Linked DNA regions of Astyanax mexicanus. The protein of the gene in region 2 interacts with the protein of the main gene of each other region in a pairwise test. Links are inferred from orthologs where the notes say so. Each region holds a gene or a part of one and is shown on either strand. Other genes may lie near its edges. The genes, in order: TBC1 domain family member 9B, gabarapl2, tax1bp1b and bcl2l13.

Evidence for each region.
Region 1: the proteins of gabarapl2 (region 2) and TBC1 domain family member 9B interact in binary tests that used the Homo sapiens proteins (3 or more experiments, as listed by UniProt). The link is inferred for Astyanax mexicanus from reciprocal best matches to the Homo sapiens genes GABARAPL2 and TBC1D9B.
Region 3: the proteins of gabarapl2 (region 2) and tax1bp1b interact in binary tests that used the Homo sapiens proteins (3 or more experiments, as listed by UniProt). The link is inferred for Astyanax mexicanus from reciprocal best matches to the Homo sapiens genes GABARAPL2 and TAX1BP1.
Region 4: the proteins of gabarapl2 (region 2) and bcl2l13 interact in binary tests that used the Homo sapiens proteins (3 or more experiments, as listed by UniProt). The two-hybrid records come from large-scale screens. The link is inferred for Astyanax mexicanus from reciprocal best matches to the Homo sapiens genes GABARAPL2 and BCL2L13.

The regions. Positions count from the first base shown.
Region 1 is NC_064409.1:65,606,072-65,613,515, reverse strand, and holds the start of TBC1 domain family member 9B, read right to left. Parts: upstream 3,024-7,444; 5' UTR 2,838-3,023; coding exon 2,720-2,837; intron 1-2,719. UniProt on the Homo sapiens protein: May act as a GTPase-activating protein for Rab family protein(s).
Region 2 is NC_064417.1:10,973,340-10,980,253, reverse strand, and holds the start of gabarapl2 (gamma-aminobutyric acid receptor-associated protein-like 2), read left to right. Parts: upstream 1-3,900; 5' UTR 3,901-4,092; coding exon 4,093-4,126; intron 4,127-6,046; coding exon 6,047-6,102; intron 6,103-6,914. Other genes in the region: tmem231 (transmembrane protein 231), read right to left, coding at 521-602, 683-826, 1,291-1,419, 1,764-1,930, 2,158-2,296. UniProt on the Homo sapiens protein: Ubiquitin-like modifier involved in intra-Golgi traffic. Modulates intra-Golgi transport through coupling between NSF activity and SNAREs activation. It first stimulates the ATPase activity of NSF which in turn stimulates the association with GOSR1.
Region 3 is NC_064413.1:42,619,157-42,626,576, reverse strand, and holds the start of tax1bp1b (tax1-binding protein 1 homolog B), read right to left. Parts: upstream 3,019-7,420; 5' UTR 2,868-3,018; intron 1-2,867. Other genes in the region: hibadhb (3-hydroxyisobutyrate dehydrogenase b), read left to right, coding at 4,792-4,861, 5,888-6,045, 7,257-7,366.
Region 4 is NC_064416.1:24,766,039-24,774,062, reverse strand, and holds the start of bcl2l13 (bcl-2-like protein 13), read left to right. Parts: upstream 1-5,022; 5' UTR 5,023-5,236; intron 5,237-5,285; exon of another isoform or gene 5,286-5,483; intron 5,484-6,579; 5' UTR 6,580-6,638; coding exon 6,639-6,753; intron 6,754-8,024. UniProt on the Homo sapiens protein: May promote the activation of caspase-3 and apoptosis.

The DNA.
Region 1 (7,444 bases), on a different chromosome or scaffold from region 2:
CCCTCCAGGGTCCACATACTTCAGTTAACTCATCACATACTAAGATCAGCATTTTCCCACTGATTTCATTCGACTGACTCAGCGATCTCTCTGAATAGTCTGTTTGTGTGTCATTCACTACAAACTCTTAAGACACCACAACTGTAACAGTGCCTGGCTGTGTGTGGTTCTCTCATTTGAGTGTGTACTCTGATCTCTAAAGCCACAAGTAGTTAATATGCAGCAAGAAACATGATCTCAGCATGGTGGAAACATCTGACAGACAATTGTAACAAATGGTGAATGTTGACCAGTATTTCAGTTTTGATAAGACTTGAACATTGAAATACTAGACTACTTAAACTAAACTAAGCTAAGACCTTTTAAGGTCAATCTTAGCCTGGGCAGCTTGAATATTTCTGATTTAACTCAATTTCTTGCACCAACATGGGTGGAGAAGTTTCAGTTGTGACGTGTCCCCTGCAAGTGTGAAAACAAAGGCTGCCTCTGTTGTATCCTATGAAGAATTTCTCCTTAAAGAGAGCATATTTGTTTTTACACAGACAGGGAGGAGTCGTGGTCAGTGCGGATGGGATTGTTTAGCCAAGTTACCAAAAAAAGCTATAAAATAGGGAGGGAGAGAAAAAAAAAGGCAATCTTTGCCAGCAACTTTATTATATTAAAGTAAACTTTCCATAAAACATGTACTGGGCTGGTTTTACCAAAACTAACTCATCACACTGATTATCTTTGTGGAAAACTGGACCCTGATTGAGCTGTAGTGAGAAAAGAGTGTAGTCAAACATATCATTTTTTAATGCATGTGATTAGAGTTGGGCAATATAGTATTATTGACCTATACATAATATGCTGTTTTGGAGCACACAGTGGGTAACAACAGTGTTTGCAATATGAATGATTCCTTACAATCTTGTTTAATTAGTCTTGTTTACTTGGAAAGAATTAATGCTGGGTGAACCTCTAACCAATGTAATCTTGCATAGTTAAAATGACAACCTCTTTATTTCTCATTTCATTTTTACTCCTGTTAATACTTTATTCTTGTAGTACAGTCTGAGTCTGCTCATGTACTGTCCTTTCATAAACATTCTACAGTGTTCATGATCACTGATCTTCACCCCAATCCAGTCTGCAACATTAAAGCTACAAGGAGGAGAACTCAGGAAAAACAACTGAGAGCAAACTGAGTAGCTTGTACCAAAGAAAAATACAGTGTCTGCTATTCATTAAAATAATAATTATGGATGGTGCACATTGTGGTTATTGTTGTGTACACTACACAGCAACTTCACCACTGCCTGCATTTAATTTTTATTTACGGTGAATTAAGGGGGTAATTAAGCTCAAATAGGGAAGTTTAGCTCTACAAGGTTTGTTTTCTTGCATAAAGGGAAAAACAAATGTTTTTGATGAGCCCCTGCTGTTACACCACAAAATAAAAATTCTTCAGTTGGCTCAGCCAACAGAACCCTGGGGTGGATTTTTACTTTCTAGACCTGGACTACCCACCTCTGTGTAAGTAACTATAGGTTTACATATGACCTCCGGTGGATTTCACGTTTTACAGAGACTCTAAGACTAGGTCAGTGGCTGAACTGCACTTAGCAGGGCATTACACATGATGTAAAGTAACATATGACATTGTAAATACTGTTATTAGTGTAAAAACGTCTGTCTTGCTGCATCACAGTGCCGTTAGTTAATCAGAGGCAATATGTTTGCATGTATGAGTATACATGAGCAAAAGCTGAAATCCTGTCTTTATTCAAAGACCACAAACTCAGTAAAATACAGCAGAGATATATAAAAACACTTACAAAAAACAGCTTACCCAACATTCATTCATACTAGAGACTACTACTGGACATTTTAAAATGAATGAAAACGATGGAATGAGAACTTTAAAGTAGTGTGTCCAACATACAATAAATGCATCAGCAGGTATCAGTTAGAAATATCGGTCAAAACGACTGATATTATTCCGATATCATCGTGCATCCCTACTAGCTGGCTAAGACAATTTTCTGCTGGCCACTAACTTTACGATAATCTAGCTATAATAGTAGCTAGGATTTTTTTATTTGCACACAAGGATAATAACCCAATCTAATTAGACAAAGAAAGGCACTGGGTTGGTGAGTTAATAATTACAAATAAAGCCCAAATACTTTAACGTTAAAAAGGAAATTAAATAGTTAAGCGTGAGGAAGCAGAAGAGCAGCCGCCCCTGTGTTGTTCACTGAGCTACACTGAGATGATTCAGACTGACCTCATCCTTCACACTGTGAGGTGCTTTAAAACAAGCACAAACAGGATGTTTATCTGTAGAAACAGCAGCAGTGTAACCTAACGCTCTCTGTCTGCCTGGAGGGAGAAATGTCAGTATTCAGACATCACACAGAGTCAGAGCACCACGTCCACACACAGACACAGACAGGCGTTGAGACACAGACGCTGAGTGAGAGAGAGACAGCTCTTTAGCTTAGGCTGGGTTAGCCACCGTCAGCTATAGCTTACCTGCAGGCAGTCAGAGAGTCAGAGCGAGTAAATAAACACCGCATAAACAAAGACTTAAACACAACACGACTTCAGTGACATTCAGTAAACTCTACCCCCGGGGCTGCAGACTGTGTTTTAGAGCTGTGTTTCAGAGCTGTGTTTCACAGTTACCGAGCCCCGCAGCGCCTCTTAAACCGCACAAACACACATAAACACGCACCGGTGATTCCGCCTCCCCGGCCGTGTCCCTTCCTCCGCTGCAGGATGAAGAAGGGGTTGGCCCGCTCGCTGACCCACAGCGCGTTGGCCAGCAGCACCTCCTCCGGAGTAATCCACATCTTCTCCCGCTCACAGACCTCCGCCCTGCCCCGCGATCAGCAGCCGAGCCCCGCCGGCGCCCACTAACACCATACCACACCCGACAAGCCCGCGCCCGCCCGCCTGCACCCACTGTTTATCCACACAGCCACAGCACAGCAGCTACGCCAGCTACAGCTACAGCACAGAGCAACACAGCACCAGCCCCGATGACATCACCAACATGACGGCCCGCTGGAAACCCTGTCAAAATAAAGGTGCGGTTCACCTTCCGGGGTCTCCACCATTATATATGTTTTTTTGTTTTTCAAAAACTTAAAAATTACAACACTGTAAAGGCATCGTTAAGTTATGAGAAAGCAATGCATCATGATACGACACATTTACACACATAAGCAACAAAACTTAACATCAAATTATAAAACAAATATTGAAAACTTACATGAAAATAATTAATTATTAAAGTTGTGTTAATATCGATTTTATTGGTGCTATTAATTAGTAATCATTAATTCTGTGATAGAGTTGTGAAAATGCTAATGGGCATATATCTTGGCAATGTTCTTATTGTTCTGGTGTGTAATTTTTTAATTTAAAAATGAACATTAGTGGGGTATTCTTTTAGTAATTTAAAAAGATCTTTAGCACTTCTAGATTTCAGTAATTTTAGAAACTTACAGTTATATTTCATTATAGTAGCATGTACAGATGGGTAAGTGTTTTAACATCACATTTTAAAAAATCTCGGTATATATTTTTCATTTTTTTGTTTCTGGTCTTTACCATTATTATTATTATTATTATTATTATTATTATTATTATTATTATTATTATTATTATTATTATTATTATTATTATTTAAAAAAAAGTGCTGTGTCAAGATACCAGATATCCAAGATATCCATGTAGTGTTCTACTCATCAATTTGCTTTGGAATCTTTCACACTCCCAAAGGCATTTAGGAAAGAAATGATTTGATAGTGTATTTCCTACACTAAGATATTAACTAAAATAAAATAAGTTAAATGCATTTATTTATGTGTAAATACAATAAACATTCCCTAGTTCTCTCTATTTTGCTCCTTAGTTACATACTGAAGCTTAAATACAGTCATACTTATGGACTATGTACCAATAAATAAATTATATGGGTAATAAAGTTATGTCTATTTAACTACTGGTTTGGAATTTGATTGTGTGCAGTATTGATTTATTTTAGGTAGTATGGATCATGTCTTTTTCCAAGTCTCGACTAGAGAGACTTTATAAAGGAGAATTTCCACTTGAGCATTTCTTTCGTGTCGGTTTGACCACGAGAGGGCACTCCTGAGTGAGTCCAAAATGAATGAGTTCATATAAAGAAATTTACCAAAATTAGAGTTTATATTTGTTTGTGCGTGTGTGTGTGTGTGTTTGAGACCACTTTTGCAATTTACAATTTTATTATCATTATTATTATTATTTTTTTCACATAAATTAAGAATTACGTTATTTCACTTTAATAAGTGCTATTGTAATGTAGGGCTTCAACCAAGGATTATTTTTGTAGTCAACTAATCTGATGATAATATTTCGATTAGTCGATTAGTCAGCAATTATTTCTGCCATCTCATCCATCTTTAAAAACAACAGAAACAGCCAAACATGAGATTTAAAGGGCATTTAAATGTCCACATGTTGTGTAAGCATGGAGAGTACTGTTACAAATTAACGATTTCGACAATGAAATTTGTAGTCGACAAATTTAAATAATCAACATTATCGATTTTATCGACCTCATTGCAGCCCTATTGTAATGTACACTCACCCAAATCTTTGTGGACATCTATTCTAATGACTGAACATCAAAGCTTGGACATTCCAAGTTGCAAAAATTAATTTCAGGTAGGTTCCCCCGGACCAATTTGGGATTATCTATCTATATTATATATACTATAGGGGTTATCTATCTATAAAATATAAATCTTGGTTTTGCATGTGTTTCATGAATATGCACACAAGGGGAGTGCCTTTCTCTCCCTCTCCATCTCTTTTAGACATGTGATATGGGATTTTTTTTTTTTTAATGAAGTCATAAGCAGTTATTATACACATTCTGCTCCTGGAGTCTTCTAACATTATTTGCATGAGACAACAGGACTGAAGCAGTTTAGGGGAAAGAGTGTGTATGGTATTAGCCATGTCTTCAATGGCTTGTGTGATGTGCTCGTCACAATGTCCATATAAGGTTTAAGGTAGTTTAAGGTGAATGAATGTACAGCAATACAGAGATTTCTGTGATGACCACATGCTATTAAAGGAGAGCATAGTAGCTACACTTTTAGTCTTTCTTTTACAAAAATGACCCACATGTACCGTCTGTATGCAGCTATCTTTTCCCTGATTTCACTGTAGGCCATTCTGATTTTAAATCTGGTGGTAAGAAGTAGATGTACATCCTTCCTGTAATGTGTTGCCATGTCCTTAAGTAGTTACACTCACTAATATATAAAAGGCTGGTGTTGATCTCTTTGGACTGAACTAGCACATTAGATAACTGACTTTCTTATAAGAGGTTTAAAATCGTAAATTTATTAAAATCAAAATTTTTAGTGCATCCATACAGTTTCTGTAGAGCACTTAAATTGCTTATATATCTGGTATCAGTGCTAAAATAACATGACACACAATTAAGTAGATAATGTTTACAAACAGGTATAAGAAATAAAAGACATGAGACAGAATGTAGGTTGAAATAGAGTTTATTAATATTAATCTGGCAGAAAAAAACTATATACTAACAATAACAATTAAAAAGGATTCATAAAATCATTCTTAAATGCTTAAAACTGATCATTTGAACATTTAAATTTTAGAGAATTCAGAACTAATTCTGAAAATGTGTAAAGCTATTAAATTTTGAAATCTAATATTTTTAAAGCTTTAAATCTAATAAAGTAAATTAAAATTAAAATAAAAGTTAAAAAACTGTTGTAAATTTGTCGTTAACAATTTAAATAACTAAATCTTATTTGAATATGTGACTAGAGTAAAAACAATAATATTAATATTAACAATCTGGCAAAAAAAACTATATACTAACAATAACAGTTAAAAGATTCATAAAAACATTCTTGAATGCTTAATACTGATCATTTAAACATTTACATTTTTGAGAACTCAAAACTAATTCTGAAACTGTGTAATGCTATTATGTTTTAAAAGCTAATATTTTTTTAATGCTTTAAATCTAATAAGGTAAATTTAAAGTAAAATAAACATAAAAAAAACTGCTGTAGATGTTGTGAAATATCTAAAATTGTCGTTAACAATTTAATTAATGAATATTATTTGAATTTGTAACTATAGTAATAATATTTATTTATTTATTTATTTATTTATAAAGCAAATTTTATACATAGAATGCAAGTTTAAGTTTTTAAGTTTTTACAACATAAAGTAATCAGAAAGAGGATTAAGCAATGCAAAAAAACAGTGCTTTTAAACTGGTCTGTAATTGTTCTTAAGTAAGCTAATTAAGCATATAAAAATTAATTAAATTAATAAATTGTTAATTAAACAAATAAATAAATAGGTAATTTAACAAATATTTTAATTAGGAAAATAGGTAATTAAGCAAATAAATAGTTAATTAAAGTCTAATGGTAAGGAAATTTATTAATTTCATAAAAAGGAAAAAAGAAACTTATGAACACTAAAAATTATAAAGGAAACTTATGAACTCTATAAAAAATATATAATTAAATTATGAACTCTAAAATTATTAGGTAAACTTATGAAACTTTATAAAATGATAAAGTAAACTTATCTACTCTATAAAAATATAGCTAGTTAATTAATGGACTATACAATATAAATATATATAAAGTAAACTTATCAGTAATAGATAAACATATACAGATTAATAAATAAAGGATACAGGTTGGATCAGATGCGGCGTCTCTTGCGAGGTGGTGCGCAGTCGTCCTCAGGGAGAGCGATGCAGTGCCCCCCCGGCTTGTGGTCCCTGTCCGGTCGATGCTCCAGCTGTCTGCAGGCAGTTGGGAGGACCCTGGTCTTCAGGTAGGCTTGCCACAGCAGATCCATGTAGCACAGGTGGGCAATATGGCTGCTGAGACTCGGCTCTGTCCTCCCACACCAGGGGGAAGAAAGTGGGGTAGAACAGACCTGCAGATAAACAGAAAAACAGAAATAGGCCTCATCAGTTGTGCTCAAACCATCTAAACTAATTTACTGTTTAATCTGGTACAATTGCACATGTACAGCTTTTATATACCGATCTGATTTGTTTACGTGCTTCACATAGTTCTGTTCTATTAGTAATGTTTAGTGAGAGAGAGATCTAGACTGTTGAGAAACTCACCGACATCTGGGAGGTAAAGCAACTGAGCGAATCCATCCGGCCTAAGGAGAGGAAAGGATGGACAGAGGAACACCAAGGTCTCCACTGTAGCAACTCCGGGTACTGAAAACAACAACATCACCTATTTTTACACACAATTCCAGTACATTTATTCCACATACTGAATATCAGCACTTCTACATTACTGAACAGATCCAACATGTGATATTAGTGTAGAAATGCTGATTTATTGATCCTGTACTGAAAATGCTGATTTATCACAGA
Region 2 (6,914 bases):
TTGTGGAGGTTGCTGCTGATGTCACTAAAAATTATTTCTTCACAGCACTCGCAATGTTCCTGTCATCCACTGCTGCAGTTTTTTACTTGGTGTACCTGTTAACATCTGTTATTTAGTACACCAGTGACGAATTTCTTCTTCAAGACATTCAAAACTGTTGTTCTGGCTATGGACAATATGTGTGCAATGGTTCTGATAGATTTTCCATTTTCTCTCAGTTTCACAGTTGCTTGTTTTTTACTCATAGACAGCTGGTTTTCATGTTGGTTACTTCTCTAACTTTAAATGCACAGTCTGCAGATCTGAAACTGAGTGTAGACATTCTGTGCTATTTATTGTTTGAATAAAATACTTTTGAAGGGCACTGTATAAGCGTCTCAACGGGCATTAAATGTGAGTTACGACTGAACATTTACATTTGAATTAAGGAGAAAAACTGAATTAAGGAGGAATATTTGCTTTGGAAACTATCAATTTACAACACAGACATATACAAATACATATAAACACTTTCTCTTACAGTTTCTTGCTTGATAGGCTCTGATGATGCTGGCCAAGTCATAGGAAGTAGCGAAGGGACTCCCTGTTTCGACCACTGACACCTAAAAAGAAATATAGCACGTAAACACACCTACAAAAAGCATTTAAAAGTGTGGTGTAAAGTATGAACACAAACTCTCACATTGTAGGCAGCATGTAGACCTCTGTGTGGCAGTGGGATCTGTTGGTGGAGCCTCAGGTCCCCATTGATGAACAGCTGTGATCCAGGAACGGAGGAGGAGTGCTGAATAAAGGCCATAGACTGCATCACTACAGTGGACATCCGCTACAAAAAGAGTGACATGAATTCAACCTGACAGTTCCACTTGTTCAATCAAGTGAAAAAAAAAATTGCAAATGCAGTGAGAAAAGCATCAGAAATATGTATGGCACAACAACCCAGTGTTTTGTTTACTAATGTTTGTTGGAGTGTGGAGTGTATTTTTTGATGATTGTTGGTTGGTTCGATGGCAGCTATTGACACCTGATGTTTGTTGCTATGTAATATTGTATGATGCAAACTGATTACATTTGATGGCATTACCTAGTGTCTGCTGGCATTTGTAAGTGTTTTATTATATATTTGGTATTAGAGTTTTTTGTAGAGTTGAGGTGATTTCTGCCATTGGACTGTATTTGGCGTAGGGTGGCATTTGCTTGTGTTTGTGGGATTTTGTTGAATAATTTTGGGACAGTTTGCCCTAAATTAAGGGTTAGGGTGTGTTTTTGTGGTACTGTGCTGATACACACAAACAACTGGTATGAGAAGGTGAGGAGTAGCTGAATGCTGTAAATCTGCTCTTCTGCTTTCAGTGGAACACTGAGCTGGAGACGCAGCCGGTCTGATTTTCCATCCTGATTGCTGTCCTCCTCCTTGACCTGCAAAACACAAACATGTGCTTTTAAACATAATACACTTATTTCATATGCCCACACCCACTGTCAAAAGTTTGTTTCTTCCACCTTTGTACTGTCTATCTAGCTGTGTTAACCGAACACTCCAAAAGCTATTTAGTTATTTGGAGCTACTCAGACCAAAGCTATCTAGTGTTGGTGAGGCACCATAAAAATTATATCCACCGCCTTCCAAAGAAAAGAACCTGTGTTTATGAGTAAATAACATTTTGTTTGTGATGCTCTGGTGAACTCTGGGAACATGTTGTGTGCTAGCTAGTTTGTGGTATTCAAACTTTTGTGTACATTTCTGTGTCTGTAGTACTTACAGACACTGCAGGGATGCGAAGGTTGCTTCCCAGCAGACGGTTAAAGTCAGGAAAAGTGCTCCACGCCACAAATTCTCCTGCTGTTCCAGTGGCTCCAATCATTAACATCTGGTACTGGAACTGCACAACCGGCTGCTCCTCATATGTGCTTCTCTTCAGCCAGAATCCTGCAAACAAAGAAAAAAAACATCAGTTACTGATGAAATGCTGCACTGTATTGGAGGTGTCAGTCAGTAAAGCCATGCACTGTTTAACATGAGCTCCTGGAGTTCATAAGCTAGTCAGCACAGCCAGTATATTAAGTAAGTCCATGAGCAAGTTCACGGGGTTAATATACTAAATTCTTACAGTATACCAGCTGTATTAATGAGGTGCTGCTGTAGTGAACACTTACCTTGGCTCTTGTAGGCGACCAGCAGTGGCGGGATGTACGTAAGACAGAAAACCATCAGCACGAACAGGGTGGCGCGAGTACACACATTGGTTTTATATCTTATTAAAGCAGGGTGGGAGTACACTTCATAAAAAGCCATCACTGAAACCCTCCTCGCTGTTCTGAACTCGCTCTGAAGAACAGTTCTAAACTCGCTCTGAAGAACAGTTAAAACCTACTGAGAAATAACAGTGGGGCTGTTCTGGTTAGCATTGGTTAAGGTTAAGCTGTAATGGAGATGTGTTAAGGTGTGTTGTGTGCTGTAGAATCGGTTTCTCTCGTATTTAATTCGGATTAAATGTACTGTATCTATCAGTTCGGCCGCAGACGTGCAGTGCCTAATTCGGGTTTAAAAGCCATGCTAATGCTAATGCTAACGGTAACTGCTCCTGAAGCGAAGCGTCCCAGCGTTACCATGACCGCCTCCAGGAAACAGAAAGCGAACATCCGCCCACAGTTACCATGGCCACCCACGCCCCACCCCCTCTGTTGTCAAATATATTTATTATTCCACCTCTTAGCAAAAAACTTAAATCATACCAAAATAAAGCTACCATTTAAAACAGATTTATTACTTTTTTTTTTGCAACGTTTTAAAAAAGGTCCCAGGAAGGAACATTACAGATAGTGTTCCAGGAATGTTATTTTAACGTGATGTGCAGGAGAAACACGTACACAAAAGTGTTATATTCTGTATTTAATCACCACAGAACATATAGGTGATTTAAAAATGAACTCTGCCACTGAAAATCAAGCTAAGAAGCTGAAGCCCAAATATGGGCATAACAAAGGCCACAGAATTACCAGTATTTATAACATACTCATTAACCAATAAATAGCCTTAATAGTATATTAGGCCTAATTTTTTTTTTTATGACAATATTTAAAACAATGGTTAGAGACAAACGTCTGGACATAGCTCTCCTGGTTTCTGGTATACTGTGTGTGAAACTGATCTGATTACTGAATTGGACATTTCAGACTATTTGGTCCACTTGATTTCATGACTGATTAGAATGCAAGACAATTATTAATACGATAAATAAAATAAAGGACAATAAAAAAAACATATATACAATGATAATTTACATTTAACAAACATGTCCTAATAAAAGGTTTTCCAGACATATATTCAGAATTATGGTGAACGTACATTATTTTTTTTTTCAATTGCTAAACAATATGAAAAGCCCATATTCAGTTGTAAGGATAAATATAAATGTAAAAAAAAAAAAAACAAGCCTGTAGGCCACCCTCCCACTTATATCAAAGAACACTAACACTAAACCTTATATATATATATATATATATATATATATATATATATATATATATATATATATATATATATATATATATATATATATATATATATATATAATATTGATTATACAACCTTTATCTAACATTGGCTACCTGAATTGAATCAACGTTCACTTAAAGGTTTTAAATGATTAAGGCTCTTTTAACACTTTTCAAGTTAATGCTTTTTAGGATAAAGGTGCTTCCCACAAATAATAAAACTATGTGTTATAATATGAATTATGCGTTAAATGTATATTTCAAGCTTAATATAATACAAACAATATTTACATATTTACAAATCAAAATCTTTGGGGAATGTGGTTGGTCACCGGGTGCAGGATTTAACCCGAGTCCTGTTTCGGCACATCCCCCACAGAGCTGGTTGGTATGACCTGCATGACGTCAGCCGTCCGTCCAGCAGTGCTAAAGCTAATGCTAGTGCTAAGGCTAATGCAGGCGGAGTGTTGACACCGCTGCTGTTTTCAGGATAATCTCCGTTTCTGTCTCTTTCTGCTCGGGTTATTCTTGCAGCTCCTGTACACTGATTCATTGTTTCACCGCACTGGGAGAGGGCCGCCCGAATCCGCCACCATGAAATGGATGTTTAAAGAAGATCATTCTCTGGGTAATTCTGTTTAATCTGATATAAAACTGACTTTTATCAAACCCACACAGACCCGCGCTCATTATTCACCGCCAGTAAACACCAGCCTCAGATAATGTGGAGATCTGTACCTGCATGTCTGAATACTAGGGGCTGGTCGTAATCATGTTTACATTGTTAGGCCGTGCGTGTGTGTGTGTGTGTGTGTGTGTGTGTGTGTGTGTGTGTGTGTGTGTGTGTGTGTGTGTTAAAACGTTATTAGCTAGACGTAGGGTAAATAACTACACCACCCCTTCACTGACCCAAAATAAACCATCTTACTATAGAAAAGCGATCACACCTTTATTCAGAACTGCTGTCTGTTTAAAGATCCCATGTTGCTCTCCATGATCTATTTTAACACTGATTTTTGCATTGGTGCAAGGGAATATACTTGTTGTTATTTTTCCCCAACCTCTCTTTATAAATGCACTCATTTTATTCAAAAGAGACGATTTTCTGTCATGTGGAACTAGAAAATACTTGAATAAAGTATTATCTCATGTCACACTTATCAATATGTTACAGACGACCAATTGATATTCAGTAGCTCAATATTGATTATCAATATAACATCCTGAGTTCTTGTGGCCAGTGTGTGCTAAAGTGCAGTTATTAAAGTGTGTCTTCAGGACAATGCCAGCCTCTCTGACACTAATGCCCACTGATGCTCAGAGATCATTATCAGCAGAGCTTATAGCCACGCTTCTTTTATTATAAGCATACAATAGCCTAAAGTGTTTTATTGTAACAAAACAAAAACAGTAGAACAAATTTTTGCATCCATCTGATCTGATAATTAAACTATATAGCCTTTTAATTTATTATTTGTATTAAATTGTATTTTAATTCTAAAAGCTGCTGACAAATGATTTTTGTTTTTGTATAGTTTTTACAACTTATGTTACCAAGCATTTTTACAGAACTCCCAAGAAGCCTGTAGCCTTGTACTGATATATTTTTGTTTTAATTTTATTATTTATCTTTAAGATCGAGTAAGTCTCAGGTTATCATTTTTAATAGTCTATTTTTAATTTAATTCAATTCAATTCAATTTAATATTTATACTGTTGATCCTGAAATCATTAGACTGGCAGACTCTATCCCGGTATTGATTTCTTTATTGTTTACTGTGGACAGGTTAAGAGTCTGCACATTAGTGTTTGAGCTAAGTGCTTGGACAAGAATGTTTGAGCAGCATTTTCTGCTGTTAGACTGTAATACATCTTCAAACTAGAGAGAAAAATAGGCTAATAACAAGCTCTCTTGCCTGTTCTTATTAAAGTCTCTGCAAATATAATTGCTTTTCCAGACCGGTTTGTGCACTCGTTTAACCTTTGAAGAAAGCTGAGCTGATAAAACAAGCATATTATTTAATATTTCTTGACTGATTGCTGTTTTTATTTGAATTAAATTTACTGACATATTTTTAAACAGCTCTTAACCTGCATTCTCCTGTTCTTCCTCTGAGCTTCACTTACAGCTTCTGTGTTGGGTTGCCAACAAGAACCAGTGTTTAAATAACACTCTTTAATTTTTATTCAGTGTTTTATAGTGTTCTGTATCAGAGCACTACTGTATATACACACTATGTGCTTGCATAAATGAAACAAAATAATGCATTCAGCATTACTTATTATGCTTGGTATTAGGATAGGGATGTTAGCTGGGGTATCTTTTTGTTTACCAAAGCACTGGCTACCTTTCTATGCGTACCATTCGAATCACATGTGATTTACTGCTGTGACTTCCATATGACATTAACACAGTACTGTCAAAACACTGCATGACACGCCGATAAATTGGAAAAGTGCTTTGCGTCATAAAGCACCTGCTTACATCAGTGTGCAGTGCAGGCATCGGTGATTCTCCTAATCATATTTTCTCGTTTCTTATCTTTAGAGCACCGGTGTGTGGAATCGGCCAAAATCCGCAACAAGTACCCTGATAGAGTTCCAGTGAGTATTAATACTAATCAACATCATGGACTTAGAGATCATTATTCTTCTACCTCAGTGTATTTCACTATGTCTGTACATGTATTGTGTGAAACCACTGTTTGATATCCCAATATTGATGTGAAATAAGATAAATAAAGATCCTCAATCAGTTTAAGCTTAAGAGTTTTTCTCAGGCTGAAGATTAAGTTTGATGTGCGTGTTAACAGTGGACTTCTACCTCACCTTGTCTAACTAGTTATGTCACATGAGTACAGTCTGTAGCATTAAGGGCTCCATTTGTGTTTATGGTGAAAACTGTGATAACAATGAAAGTAAAATTTGTCTCACTGCCCTAATATAGAAGAAATGCCACTAAACTCCAGTGCTTTTATAGAACACCAGTGGCCTAAACAGTCGTCTAAAACTGCTAAAGCCCTTTAGCCCCACAATGAACAGATCCACTGGTCTGTTTAGGGTGAAATGTTGAGGTTTGTTCAGTGCACAGTAGTGCTAGCTTAGCCTGTTGCAACATTCCTACACTACACTGACATGCCAACTGTGATGGGACGTAACTAATTTTGTGTCCCATGACTTTTGCCATGTCCTATGGAAGCTAAAGAACGCTGCACTGACCTGTGAGATGTGTGTGTGGGGCCTCCTGCATTAAATGTAGATGTCATTTCTGCCAGAGTGACCTTTCACACGGTTTAACGGTCTACATGTTAAATTATAAAATCAAGAATGTGTAAATACAACTTTGTAAATTGAACTTATCATTCATCTAACACCCACTATCAGGTCCTAAACTTGTTGCCTTGTCATAAGAATGC
Region 3 (7,420 bases), on a different chromosome or scaffold from region 2:
TCAATAACGGTGATATCACTTTTGTGGTATATCGATATGTATTATGTACAGAATCTGTCACGGACAGGCGTTTTTTACTGGCGTCAGCTCGCCGCAGAGCCAAACACATTCAGCCCCCATAGCTGTGCTACCTCAGTGCGTGATGACGCAATCACACAGGCACGTAGCCAGATAGGCTATGCTAGGCTAGGTTAAAATGGCTAGGCTAGGCTAGGCTAGGTTAGGTTCAGGTCCGCTCCGCTACGCATCTAAAATGTCTCGAAACGGAGCCGGGACGAGCGGATCCAAGGCTAGGGTAGACTCGGTTCGGTCAGCCGCTGTTTCGCTCGCCCATTCGCGCGTCCGCTCGCTCATCCGCGGCTCCGCTCGCTCATCCGCGGCTCCGCTGGCCCAGCCGCGGGTCCGCTCGCTCATCCGCGCCTCCGCTCGCTCATCCGCGGCTCCGCTCGCCCAGCCGCGGGTCCGCTCGCTTGCCGCTTTGCTGCAAATTGTGCCGGTGAGTGGAGCCGACAAGCAGCGTAACGTTAATAGATCTAATCTGTTCCACCACCTCAAGCATCTTCACTACATACAATATTTTCCTTATACTGACTGAAGCACTTTAATAGATTATGTTGAAACTAAGTTATTTAAAGTTTATGAATCCTTTAGGTTTGTTTATTTGACGTGGATATCATGTTGAATACCTCTTGTATTCTGACTAAAGCACTTTAATAGATTATGTTGAAACTAAGTTATTTAAAGTTTATGAATCCTTTAGGTTTGTTTATTTGCCGTTGATATCATGTTGAATACCTCTTGTATTCTGGCTGAAGCACTTTAATAGATTATGTTGTCACTAAGTTATTTATAGTTGAAAAATCCTATAGGTTTGTTTATTTGACGGGAAAATCTTGTTGCTTTTATGTATATAAAGGCTATTATATATCCTAGTTAAAACACTTTTGTTTTAATCTGTTAAATTTGTTTACAATGAATAAGAAGCTCTGCCTCTGTTGTCATTTAAAGTTATTTTTATTTGTAATAGTTATATAGGCTTATGTTTGACAGGGATGTCCTGTTATTATTTTACTATATGCAAATAAAATTGAGCATTGATTTATTTTGACTACTTTTATTTCTAAAGTATTAAAGTTTTTGTGAAAGGAGGTTTCAAAGACTTAAAAAACATTTTCATACAGTAGTAGGTACAGATTTCCATTAGATAGATTGATACAAAAAGTGCAAATACACAGTTAAATAATAATTTAAATTTGCAGTGCAAGCTGCAGAGATTGCAGGGATTCTTTTTCTGAGGCCTTCAAAGTATTTATCGATATCTAAATTATATCGTATCGACCGAAATTTAAGGAATATATCGTGATATAAATTTTGGCCATATCGTCCAGCACTAATGTACACATTTTCTCTTCCATTATAAGCTCTAAAGTGATAAGTTAACTAATAGCTCACTGATTGTATTGGTTTTACTGCTGTACTGAACAGAGACTAATAGGGACACTAGCTACAGTGTGGAATAGGTATGATGCCTTCAAGTCCTCCTCGGGAAAATCCTACTTAGGAGGTTGTAGGTGGTAATAACTACTTGACATGCGTTCATGTGTTTTTTGGTCGGGTGGAAATGAACGCCATTTAAAAAAATATTTTGTTTATACTTTTGATCTTTTATCATAAAAAACAGGAGGTTTATTTTGCCCTACCCCAAGTGAATGAAGTGAATAAGACACGCATTAATTGAGTGATGTTTTCATTTCATTATAATATTGAATCTTACAAGACTTTTTTTTACGTATTTCTAGTGATTTTATTAGTAAGCTAATATTAACCTGCAAGTGTTCTAATGTTGTAGCAATAACAGAAGTGTAAGCAGTTTACAATACGAACTGTCTGCATCAACTTATTGACTTTGTTACTGACACGCCCCTCTCCTAACTATAAAACTCAGGGCTTATCTAAAAATACGAGTATTACACTGATAAATACGAGTTTATGGTACCGTCCATGTGCTCTCCTCTCGTAAATACGATATTTCCAACAATAATTGAAGGCAGCATATAATTTTATGTTTGGCTATACTATAATGAAAGAGTTACGTTAGGTCCGATATCACAACATGATGTTATCTAGGTTTCCCTTGTTCCCCTGGACTTTGAATGGTAGCTAGGCTAACTAACGGTAACCCAGCTAGATGACTATTAACCATCGCGTGTGGTACAATGTAAATCAAATTTAACTATAATCGTATTAACTTGGCAAACAGAAACGTGACAGTGGGCATAATATATTAAATACAGTGTAATTATAATTTCAAACTTGAATAAACATGGAAATGTAGCTAGTTTAGCTGCTTAACTGTTAAAAACACTCGCTAATCTAAAGTACAAAGTTCTTCGCTAGCTGCTAATGGGAGCAAAACGCAGAGACCTAGCGCTAGCTAGCTAATAGCTAACTAGCTAAACAATAACAAACGAACCAACCCACAGTCAGTAACTTAGCCAGCTATAGCTATATTAGCTTAGCTGTCTATATGACACTCACATTAATGACACATAAACGCTTAAATGATTTTTTTTATTGGATGGGACTGTTAACCTAACGTTACTCAACTAAGTTAAGCTAAAGAAATTCAGAAGTTAACTTAGCTAGGTTAGCTACTTAGCTTAGCTAGCGATAAGAGGCCGCTGGCGTTAGCATTAGCACTCGCTGGCGATCTATCTGTTGTTGTGGGTTACTTGTTCGCTTTCATTAACAGCGTATTCTGTTTACCTAAACCCCGTTCTGAACCATGTTTCAGTCTAAAAAGCCACATTTCGCTTTAGTTATAATGTACGCTTAGTTATTGTAAGGGTAAATAAAGGCAGGCCTACCTCATGCTGTCAGAAACCTTCTCACTGCTGCTGTTGACGCACTTTACTCAGGACAGTCAACACAGCAGAGAGGCGTCAGTTCCGCCCTGCCTGGAAACGCTGATCTGTTTTGAGAGTGTTTTCAGTCGGTCTGCTCAGCTGCTCAGCGCTGTCCTTCCTTTCCTCCTTCAGAAATATCACCCTTGTGTAATCTATGAATCAGATCAGAACAGCTTTATGAATCTGGAAAAGCAGAGGGGTTTCCCACTGCTCCATTTACTTATACTGAACTCACTAAAATAGACATAAACTACAATATTAAAAATTACAAAAATAAACAATTATTCTTAATAAAAACTAGCTTAGTAAATAACCAAACATACACCTAATTGTACACAAGGAAATGTCAGTGTCATCTTAAAAAAACATAATTTTATAAATTTTGTATATAAATATTATTTATTTGCTATACAGTCAGGTTCATACCCTGCTAAAAAAAATCAATAAGATCAATACCAGCCTGTCATTCAGAAAAAAACATGCCCTACGAACTGCCCTCAGTGATATGTTTTACCTGGATGTGCCGCTTCCAAGCCACTTTGACCTTCATGTACCACCTTCAATGAAACCAATTATCAACTGAAATTAGTGTTCATACGGATTTTACTTAAATGTTTATAAATTCAAGGAGATTTTATTGTCATTTCACATCACATGTGGTACATGAAGTGGAACAAAATTGTATTGTCATGGTCCAATTACACCCAAACAGAACATGTTAAAATGGATAAATATAAGATAAAATAGAACAAAATGAGAGATGTTGGAGTTTCTAGTTTAAGTACATTAAGCCACGTCAGGCTTTTTACCTCATAATAGGTTTCAATGGGAAGAAAAGCCACATTAAGCCTTTTTATGTTAAGACTTTTACGTTTAAACTCTTTCCTTATTGGTTCTTTGTAGATCCAGATCTTTGGTTTTCAAGCATGCTTCTGGAGCTGCTTGTTACCTGCTATAACATACCCAGCTCCCTCAGCAAGGGCTCATTAGTTAATTAGTTGGATCAGGTGTGCTGTAATTAAACAATAAAATCTAAAAGCAGTTTATGAGTTTTTGTGTAAAATGTGTCACACCAAAAGACAGTGTAAAATGGAACTGATGCAGGAGTGCTAGAGGCTTGATTTTTTTGTAAGCATTAAAGCTTGTTACCTTGTAACTTTCATGCGTGAAAGCAAAAAGACGGTTTTTAGGATCACATGAAATCGGAAAACGGATTTGGCACTTTCACACAGCCATGAAAGAAGCAGATATGAGCAATATTGAGCCAAAAATCTGACTTCAGCCTTGTAATGTGAGCATAGCCTAAGTTGTAAAACATTAATATTTGGCACATTCAACTTCCATTTTGAGAAAATGTAGAAATGTATTGAAACTAATTTTAAATATTGTAAGTTTGTAAATAATTATGCTTCTAAGCAATATTGAGCAAAAAGGACTTCAGCCTTGTAATGTGAGCATAGCCTAGGTAAAAAAATGTACAACATTAATATTTGGCACATTCAACTTTCATTTTATGAAAATGTAGAAATGTATTGAAACTAATTTTAAAAAATATTGTAAGTTTGTAAATCATTATGCTTCTAAAGTTCTGTAGAGTTCTGTAGTTGTTGCACCAATAAAGACACCATACAAACATAGCTACAAAAGTTTCATAAGCATAGAGTGAAAACCAGATACAGGCCCAAAGGAGAAAGCAGCAGTCTGATAACCTTCATTATAAAACATTCAGCCAATCAGACTGGTCCTTCAGAGGATGTTCCGCCTTCGCGTGAGACTCCGTGGAGGAGGAGTCAGAGCAGACTCTGCACTGCATTGGACAGACGAGCTGTCAATCTTGTCCCACCCAATACGTGCGCTGTGAGTCGGAGGTCAGCAGCGCAGCAGCATGGCCGCTCTGTTAAGGAGGTCTCGGAGGTTTGTGGGACAGTGGCACAACCATGTCGTCTGTGTGCAGGGTATGCTCTCTTTATTCACTAAATCCTCTTCATTAACTGCTTTTATATGGATGTTTTGTGTATTTGCGCGCTGCTTGGCATCACTGCTCCAAAACTAATGGCACGCTCCAACCAAACTCGAAGATTGTAGTGAACTGCAGCGCTGGCTAATGTTAACCTAGCTACCTTAGGTTGGGTTAGATCAGTGGCTGTTAAGCTGTCAGATATAACTTAACTCCTTAACATACCTTGTCCCGTATACAGGCTACAGGTGTAGGTGATACAAAATAATTTTTTCTGATGCAAAATAACTTATTAGATTCTAAACATTTGAGGGCTTTGAAATTACCTATAGGACACTATATCTCCTATAGGAGAAGCTGCATGTTCACTCTCTACTCCACTTAATAATTCCAGATCAGTAACAGAATTCAAGCCAAATCCTGCAGGTTTGAAAATAGACGTAAAAAACTAGACAAACATAACGAAACTAATGGTCTAGAGGACATAGACTTTTTGATTTGTATTCAGGACAATATTGATTTTAAAATGAAGTTCAGGAACGAGCTATTATCATTATATTTTGATATTAGCAGATTTACTTTAAATATTTTTATTTTATATTTTATATTACTATTACAATTATGCTTTTCAGTAATGTCCCTTATCAATCATGAAAGCTTTTTATGTAATGCCTGAATAGAAGTCCTCAAGATTTAGTGGTGTAATGACAGGCAGACAATTGACAGAAATCCTGGCCTGGTAAAGGGGTTTTAACTACAGTCATGCTGGTGTCAGCTGTAAAAGAGCAAATTTTGCTATATAAACTTGCTTAAATGCAAATGCAAAGAGGGTGTTCATGTTTAAAATAATGTATAAAATGCACACAATGCCTTTTTTTTTGCTTTATCCACTAGGAATCTTGAATAAATATTGGTTTTGTTTGTTTGTTCACCTTGAGATTAGCCAGCTATCTACAGAGTTGAAGGGCAGTACTTCTGCACAAGGGCTTGTATGAGCTTTTAATCAGTTTTAAATGTGTCTCAGTCTCCAGGTCCATGGCCTCCAAGACCCAGGTGGGCTTCGTTGGGCTGGGAAATATGGGAGGCCCCATGGCCAAAAACCTCATCAAGCATGGTTATCCAGTGATCGCCTGTGATGTGTTTCCAGAGTCCTGTAAAGAGCTTCAGGAGCTCGGAGCTCAGGTGGGGGACAGTCATATTTTCATTTTTCCAGAATACAACAGTATTGCATTTGTCATATTAGGGGTGAGACATATAAATAAATGTCAATATATTAAAACTATTGCATACAAGAAATGAAAATCACCATATTCCTAGTATCACACTTGTTATGCAGTAAAAATGCAAGGGTCATTGTACGGAAATGCTGTGGTTTCCAGAGGGTTAACACTCAACAAAAAAACAGACAGACACCCAAACATTTTTACTTTTGATGCCTATTAGCGGGTGTCTAGTTTGAAAATAACTACTATTTGGCACATCTTATAGACTGAAGTACAGTCCACAATTTCTCAACAGAATTGAGGTCAGAATTTGGAAAGACTGTTACAAAAGCCTAGTGTTGGCGTGCTTCCTTATTCATTTAACAACCACCTTTGATGTGTATTTTGGGTCACTGTCCTGTTGGGACAAAGTTTTAACTGTCCAGCTAATTGTTTGAAGTTATGGTAGCCCAACTTCTTCTCCTCTTCGTACTTCATTATTCTATACACTTTGTGCAATGAACAGTTCCAAGACCCAGAGCATGTTGCTACCACCACCATGCTTAACAGTTTGTGCCATGTTTTTTAGGATGAACAAACTTACATATGGTTAGCTGAAATCTTAAATAAAGCTTGAAGGAGTCAATTTTGGAACAAGGGCTTTTTCATTTGGATAACAGCCTCTCATTTCATGGAAATGTAAAACTTTACACAGGTGTTACAGCAAGTTAACATTTAACAGCGGTCCTGTGTCTTGGTGCTTCAATTGTTTTTGCTGGTACAAATTAATTTTCTCTCAGCTGAGCGTGACCGTTTTAAATCTATCTCCAGATGATGGAAAAGTATGTATTTTTATTTATGTATATTTGTAATACAATGTTATACAGAAAGGAACACACAAATTACCACAATTGCTTCTCCTAAGTTTGTCTCCACTGCCCCATTTTAAAACTAAACTGCTTAACTTATTAAGATATTTGTAAAACTAAAACACAGTCATAACTACTAGTATAGTGCTTCTTTCTTACTGTATCAACAGATTAGCAGTTTACATTAGTGTCATAGTTTTTCAATGTAAACATTTTTTTGGGCATGTTTATCTTCTCTATAAATGAAATACAACTAGAATACAGGGCAGATTTGTTGTTTTTGCTATGGAAATAATTTTGTTTACTTTGCTATGGAAATTAGATCTTGGACTCGCCTGCAGAAGTGGCAGACAAGTCGGATCGGATCATCACGATGCTCCCCTCCAGTCCTAATGTAATTGAAGTGTACACCGGCCCTAATGGGATTTTGAAGTAAGGGTCTTTCTCTCTTTTTTTTTTCTCCACCTTTACTCCTTTAAAATCATC
Region 4 (8,024 bases), on a different chromosome or scaffold from region 2:
CTAACATGTGTACAGCAGGAAAAAAAATCCTTGTTCTGTTCTTCAATGGTCAGTCTGTGTGGCACGGGTGTGATGTGAGTGTATGCAGTATGTGTGTGAGTGGAAGGAGTGTGCTGTGTGGTGTGGAGTTTTTGGTGTGTGTTTGAGTGTGAAGTTTGTGGTGTGTGTTCATGGTGTGAAGTGTACCTTGTTTGGCCACCTGTGTTGGATTTAAAATGAAATACAATTGGGTATGGGGGCATTCAACTTCTATATGGTTTCCTGCAGGACATTTGCTCACAGATGCTGTAGCTAGGCCAGTAGATCCTGCATAACCCTAAGTTATAGAAGATGGCATCCCAGCAGATTCCATAAATGCTTGATTGTCAATTAATGTGGAAAAGATGCAGGCCAAGGGTGTGTTGCAATCTGGTGGAGACATTCCTAGAAAACCCTTACTTTGTGTGGGTGAGCATTATCCTACTGAAAATGCCTGTTGGAAGCAACAGAGGAACAGAGGATTTCCTGCACATATTGCTAAGCTGTTACTGTCCTTCAAATAACTACTGAGGGTGACCAACCGTTATATGCAATGGCTCCCCAGATCATCACACCAGCAGCTGGGGGACTTTTCACTCCACAGAAAACTTGTATGCCCTCTACACCTTTGGCAAGACCCTGAGTTGTAATCTGTAATCGTTATTCTTTTTTGTCAGTGAGAGTAATTTAATGGAAACACAGTGAGGATACTGCTTACAGAAGCTTAGCTGACTTGTGTTTCAGTAGAAACAAACAAAGTTGGCATCAACATTTACACCCTATGTCTAAAAGTCTGTAACCATCCACTTATTCACTTATTTTTCTTCCAAAATTAAAAGTAAACAAGGATGTTGCCCCCTACCCTTTAACATAGTAGTTGTTCATACTCTCTGGAGGAAGGTTTTGCACAAGATTTTGAAACATTGCTGTAAGAATTAGATTTTATCCCCAGTTTTACTAGTGAAGTCAAATACTGGTATTTGGAGATTAGTTTAGGATCACAAACACTACTCTACCTCATTCAAAAGGTATTGGAGGGAGTACTATCACTCCAGAGAATTCCTCTTCACTGCTCAATATCCCAGCTCTGGGGGATTTACAGGCCTCTAGCCCATGCTTGCATTGGACATGGTGACCTGAGGCTCATGTGCAGCTGCTTCACAGCATCCTATTGTATTAGCAATGCTTTTCTATACACAGCGTTCTGTAAAAAAACAATGTGTGTGCATCTCATTCTACATGGATATTTCTGGAAAGTATGTTAATTTGAATTTAGCATATGTTGCTATAATGTGGTTTAATGCTGCAATCACAAAACACAGCCCTGTACCATAACAGAGCCTGGCTTTTGCGCTTGTTTCTGTTAACAATCTGGATGGTCCTTTTTAATGGTCAATATAAATGGATACAGTATGGATTTCCAATACTGTCCATATTATGATTGTATGTTTTGTACAATTGACTGAGTAGTTCTTTGGAAAATATTATTGTTTAATAATAGTTGAATAATTTCAGATACTAAATAGAGCAATTTTCTATGTTTTGACAAATTTATATTTTGTTATGTTGTGGATGAATAGTTGTGGATGAATAGTTGAGAAACAGAGTGAAAAGTGTTGTGAGCATTTATAATGTAAATGAAGTTGGAGACTAGGGGCCCTATGTTCAGATGAGATGAACTGTAATTGCTCTGCTTTTGGTTCGATTACAGCGTTAAATCTAGCTATTCCTGCACTAATCCTCACTAGGAACGGGAAGGAACACACAGGAAACCCCACAACCTCATAATTATCTACTACTGTCATTTTTAGAAAGTTCTGACCACAGCACAGAGTTTAGTTTACAGGGGATCTACAGACAAAACGCGGTGCAGCTGCGTGTGGACTATCGAGAACATAAAATATCAAAGGAGAATCCCCACTGACAGGGTAATTTGGAAAGTCCCCTCTAAATTTTCCAGGAAAAATAGGGATTGTCCATCGGAACAGTGGATTGGCATTCCTAGCTATAAGCTGTTGATCCATCAGGAGTTCCTGTAAGTAATTTTGTTTATGCTAATCATGATATTAGTAGAAAATCTTATTAAGATGTCACTGATGACTAATTATGAAAATAGATGCAGTGCAATAAACATACTGTGTAATCCATTGGTTTACATTGGTATTTATTAACACAACTAATGAGGTATTAATTCAGTTTAAACCTTTTTATATAACATTCCATAGTTTTGGGTGGTGAAAACACTACTTAGGGACCCTAATTACTTAGGAAGTACTAAAAATGTGGAAATATGTCAACTGTATGTAAAAGTTTGGATCAGGGATTTGCAAAGTGTGGTCCAGAAAGTGGCCCAAATCTTATTTTAGAAGAACAGTGTAGTGTATAAGTCTCCAATGTCATAAATGCATATAAGCTTATAAGTGTATTGTTGGACTGTTTAAACTTTAAGGCCCTTTTATTTTTTTTAGGCTCCAAGACAAATAGTTTGGTTCAAAAACAAAAATTCTACAGTACTATATGTTAAGGAGGAACTTTCAATTGATGTTGATGTAGAAATATTGTATTCCAAGACTATTTGGAGTATTGGTCATTTTTCAAAAAGTGATTTTTGCTGTCACATTTTTGTGTGACATCAAAGATATATACACCAATCAGTCATAACATTAAAGCTACCTTCCTAATATTTTGTAGATCCCTGTTGTTTTGATGAAATAGCTCTGACCTGTCAAAGAATGGACTCCAGACCTCCAAAACTTCTGAAGATGTCCTGTCCTATAGGGCACCAAGACATTAACAGCAGCAGCTCTATTAAGTACTGTAAGTTGAGAGGTGGGGCCTCCATGAAAATCAATGAGCCTTGGCCACCCATGACTTTCACACTACTTCACCGTTTGTCCCTCCTTGAAGCATATTTGACCTGTACTGACTACTGCAAGACCAGCCTGATGTTTTGGCAATATTCTGAAACAGATGTTTGGCCATCAAAATTTAGTTTTTGTCAAAGTGTCTCAGATTCTTACTATTAGTGTTATTAGTGAATATGGGCAAACAATGTGGTGTGTGATAATTCTATTGGATATCGTGATATTGATATTTCACAAGTCACAAATAAGGCATAAACAACAACAAAAATAAAAACACAAGGCTGGGGTAGGGTCTGTAGTACTTGGTATAAAGATTGAGATTGGAGGGTGGAGACTTGCTGTCCTCAGTCTGCGCAGGTTGGAAGGGTTGAGCAGCTGCTCTTAGAGGTGGTGTTGAGGGACCAGTGGCCAGTTGTGCGTATAGTTCAAACACAGGCTAGTTGTAGCATATGTGTTTATTAAACTCATATTTATGCATTACTAAATCAGAACATGTTGCACCACACAAACTATTCTATATATGGTAGCTAGTATCTAATTTATATTTATATTGGAATATGTATAAAATATAAAAACATAAAAAATATGAGACTGTAAAAAAAGAGAATGTTGGAATACAATATATATAAGCAGAGACCACTTAAAAATGATGAGTTTCTTTGATTTTACCAAATTGAAAATAAACAAGAGGAAGATGGATGATCACAAACCGTCAAATCAAGCTGAACTGACTTTTTGCACCAGGAGTGGCATAAAGTTATCCAATAGCAGTGTATATATAATATAATGATCAATATACTATATATACTATATGCTATATATTATCCCATATATTATCCAATTAGACATGCTGTAAGTGCCGTTTATATGTTGGTGTTTCAGAACTGCGTTTCCATGGCTACGTGTTGACTGCCATGATCTGCGCATGTGTAATTTGTAACTAGGTTACTAGTTAAGACCCAACATACGGATTTGTGGTACCATCAGATTTAGTAAATAGACAGTTTGAAACTAATTAGTAACTAATTAGTTGTATCAACGGAGACTTTACACTTTTAGGATACTTTACACACAAAATTAAGAAGGAACTTAAGCAAAACTGGTGCAACCCAAACTTCTTGTTCTCAGAAATTTGAACCCTACATAATATATTTTCAGGCCTCATACTTTCCTCCTGTGCTGTATATGTGCCTAGTGTTCTTTACTATCAATGTATTTATTGTACTGTTCCTTTTGCTCTACACGTGTATTTTAGAAGAATGGTATGTATGCTTCTGTTGACACTGATTTAACTCAATAGATATGTCGCTTAAATAAAGAACGAACCCTGTTCGTCACTGTTATGATATAACCAGTAGAGGGCAGCAGCACTCTATCAGTAACGTTAACTATTAAAACAACGGTACAAAACTGACATCTGCTTGTATTTTTCACGTTTAATATAAACCGTATAAATCCATTTAAACAAATAATTCAATTAATCAATTTAATGTAATAATTACATTGTGGGACCCTTTCATGCAAATTCCGTGGTTTTGCCACAAACATAATAATATTTTTATTATCACTATTATTAATATATATTTTATTTTTTATTTTTTTGTATCGATCCATACGTGTTTTTCAATAATAGGCTGTCTTTCCAAAGTAAAAAAAATAAATAAATAAAATAAATAAATAAAATATATATTTCCCTTTTTTTCTTTGACTTCACCCAAAATACATAACTACATTTAATTAAAAGATACCCTAGTGCCCTGCACCATGCTTTTTTTTTCATTTTCTGTATTCTAACGATGCATAGTGCATTGTACATAACAACAACAACAACAACAACAATAATAATAATAATAATAATAATAATAATAATAATAATAATAATAATAATAATAATAATATTCAATTTACTAGAATAATTTAACTGAAGTTCGAGGACGCAAACAAAATGTGTTGATAAAATGACAAGTTACAGCTTTAAGAAAACGTCTGTTGACACTTAAGTTAACCTAGTTAACCTAACTAGTTAACTTAGGTAAGCACAGTTCTTTTGTTAAAAAAGGGTAGTTAGCTAACTTTCGGCGCTGCTCCTGAATATACTGGCTGGTGCTACATAATCTCTGTAGCTATAGTGTGGGCTTTGAGGGAGTGCATGTGGGCTGTCCAAAAAAAGGTTTGGTTGACCCGAGCACAACACAGTAGCCACGCTGCTAACCGCTCAGCTAGCTCCGGTACAGCTAGCTTAGCTACTTCACTGGTACTAACTGACAGCCAGCGAGCTAAGCTAACCCGCCTGTGTCAGACCCGCACTGCTGCTGCTGCTGCTTCTTCACAGCTGAAGTGTTTGTGTCGGCAAGGTAAACACCGTTGTGGTTTTTATTCAGCGCTGCTGGCTGCCACTGTTTGTTGTTGTTGTTGTTGTGAGTGGCTCTAAAGTTAGCTTGGCTAGCTGTAGTGCTGAGGCGTGCTAAGAAGTCAGCGCATGGTAGGTGTGGTGAGTGTGTGTGTGAGAGTGTGTGAATGTTAGTGAATGCCTGCATGCCCTTGTGCTCAGTGTAAGGGACAGAGCTTCTGTAGAAACAACAGAAAGGTAAAATAATCGGAGTAAGTATGTAACTTTTAGTTAGACAAGATGTTTCTGTTTGTTTGTTTTTTGTTTTGTTTTTGTGACAAACTTTAAACGTGTTTTCTTCTAAGTACGAAACTCATTCATCCATGTGATGCAACCTGAGCAGTGACATTCTCAGTTTTTAACCTTTAGTTAGCTAGGTTAGCTATCTAAAAGTGGGGTTTGAGACATTAGTCTTTTTATTTTTAAGCAAGCTAGCATGTGTTGTCTTTTTGTGTGCCAGGAAATGTAAGTAGTTCCTTAGACCTTTTTTTCTTTTTTTTCTTCTTTTTTTTAACAGTAGTATTAGTTCATGGTTTAGTCCTGTCACAATAACCAACTTGTACTTTTATTCCACAAATATCAAGATAATATAATTGAATAATAATACATTTACATTTGAAATAGCAATGATATTTTATCTGTTAAAAAGTATTAAAACATTGCATCTGGAATCGAAGAATATCTTAAGTTATAAAAATCTGCACAAAATTAAAACAACTTGTTTTAGTTTTAAATTATTTACTCATAAATCACTGTTTCAACAGGTCCTGTTTTACTCTTTCCAACTGTCTTGTGTAATAATAAAAAAAACTGACTGCTTTGCAGTGTTACTGACAGATTTACATTTTTTTTCTAGAAAAGACCCTCTTTAAACAGTTAAAAGTTGACCTACCACCTCATTCACATTAATGAACACTGAGGTGAGCAAAAGTTATTGAGGTAATGGCCTAATGAAGTATTATTGGCTTCATTTGTTATTTTTATTATTTTGGTAGTCTGTCCTTTTTTTCTCATTTTTTTGATTAGTCAACAACTATTTTTGCCATTACCTTAATAACTGCCTCCTGAAAGCACAGCTACTCAGCTCTGCACACCTGTTAATATCACTCTATTGTCCAGTCTCTACCTTAACACGTATAGTGCCATGTTTAGAAACGATTAGTCAGCACTGAAATTTGGAGTCAACTAATTTTAACTAATCATGGCAGTCCTGAAATTATTAATTGTTAAAATATTGCCCTTACATGAACTTACATGAGTGTCTAAAGTGTACAGCAAATACTGAAAATTTGTTTATGCTCCCACCAGGTTTTTTGGAAACAATCAGGCAGTAGTTCATGTACCCAAGAGCCTGACACGTCTCTTCAATGGCTGCCTCTGGCTCCTCCACCACTGTGCCTGAAGGGTTCCACTATGAAACCAAGTATGTGCTCCTCAGCTACCTCAGCCTGCCCCCATCCTCACACTCAAGGCCTGCAGAAGGTAAATGTAAACTCTTGCTTTTTAATGCAATACCTTTTAGAGAGAAAGTAGTCAAACCTTTACATTCACATTCATTCACAGCATATTGTTACAGCTCCAGTTAGAAGAGTCTAACATCAAAGACCTTCATTAATTCACATTCTGTGTTTTGTTGGGTATGTATTTTTTCAGAAGTGTTTATCTAAGCACTGAAACCAGGGGGGGGGGCAGTTGTAAAGGACAGGTCATGGGCAGAGGGTAAGCTATATGCATGGCTCTGTATTATGTGTCAGCTCCACCTACCTCAGTTTAGCAGTTCAGCTGATATGTACAGAATGTACAGAGTGTGAAAAAGCATGCTTTGAAGATTTCCAATACAACTGTTACGTAACAGTCTTGACTTTTTTTTTGCTACATACCCAAACTTGACATAAACCCAGCCCACTGCTGAAAGCCCTGCTAGTTGTAGTCAAAACTGGCCAAGTGGTAATTATAGATTGGATACTTATTTGAATGGTATAATTAAAATTAACTAAATTTATTTTTGAGTCCACCATAAAACCGGCTTGTTTCATTATAGGGGCAGATTATAAGGTTGTGAATGGGCCTGTAAACTGCATCTAATGTATGTTGTCATGATTTACTTGTGTTACAGGTCTGTTTGTGACAAATATAATATAAATTGGGAGAGAAAGAATGATGTTGGAATTTAGTTCCTTTTTCCTGCTGTTACTAACCATTGTCACTTATAGTGAACTGATAAGGATGGCAGGGAGATATTACTATCAGTCATTTTGCAGTCAGACACTCCTGCACTTTCTAAACAGGCAGCTGCATTTTAAAACATTTTAACTGTTAAACTGTGTTTATCTAACATAATAGGACTATATATATTTTTGTCTCTTTTTCATGAATTTTGGTGCAGTGTAAACGCCAGCTTGAATTTTCAAACTCTGTCAGTAAAGAAACTACAAAAATGGAATACAAGTTCACTTACTCACACGCATACAGACATACCCTTCCTTCTCATACCGTTCCTTTTTTACCTCTTTTGAGTCATTTCCATTGTCCAGTCATTTTTCTCCTATCACATGATGCCAGCAGTGCTGGAAGGGTAAAGGCTAATATATGCTTAGCATGTGGTTTAGGTCTGTTTGTATGTAGCCTGTGTGAGTTTAAATGAGTAGGACAACCTAGAGTGAATATTATACCACTGCCTATAGGTTCATGTTATGTGAGGAACAATAGAACACAAGATGTTTAAGATTAAAAATATTCAGGAAGTGTTCAAT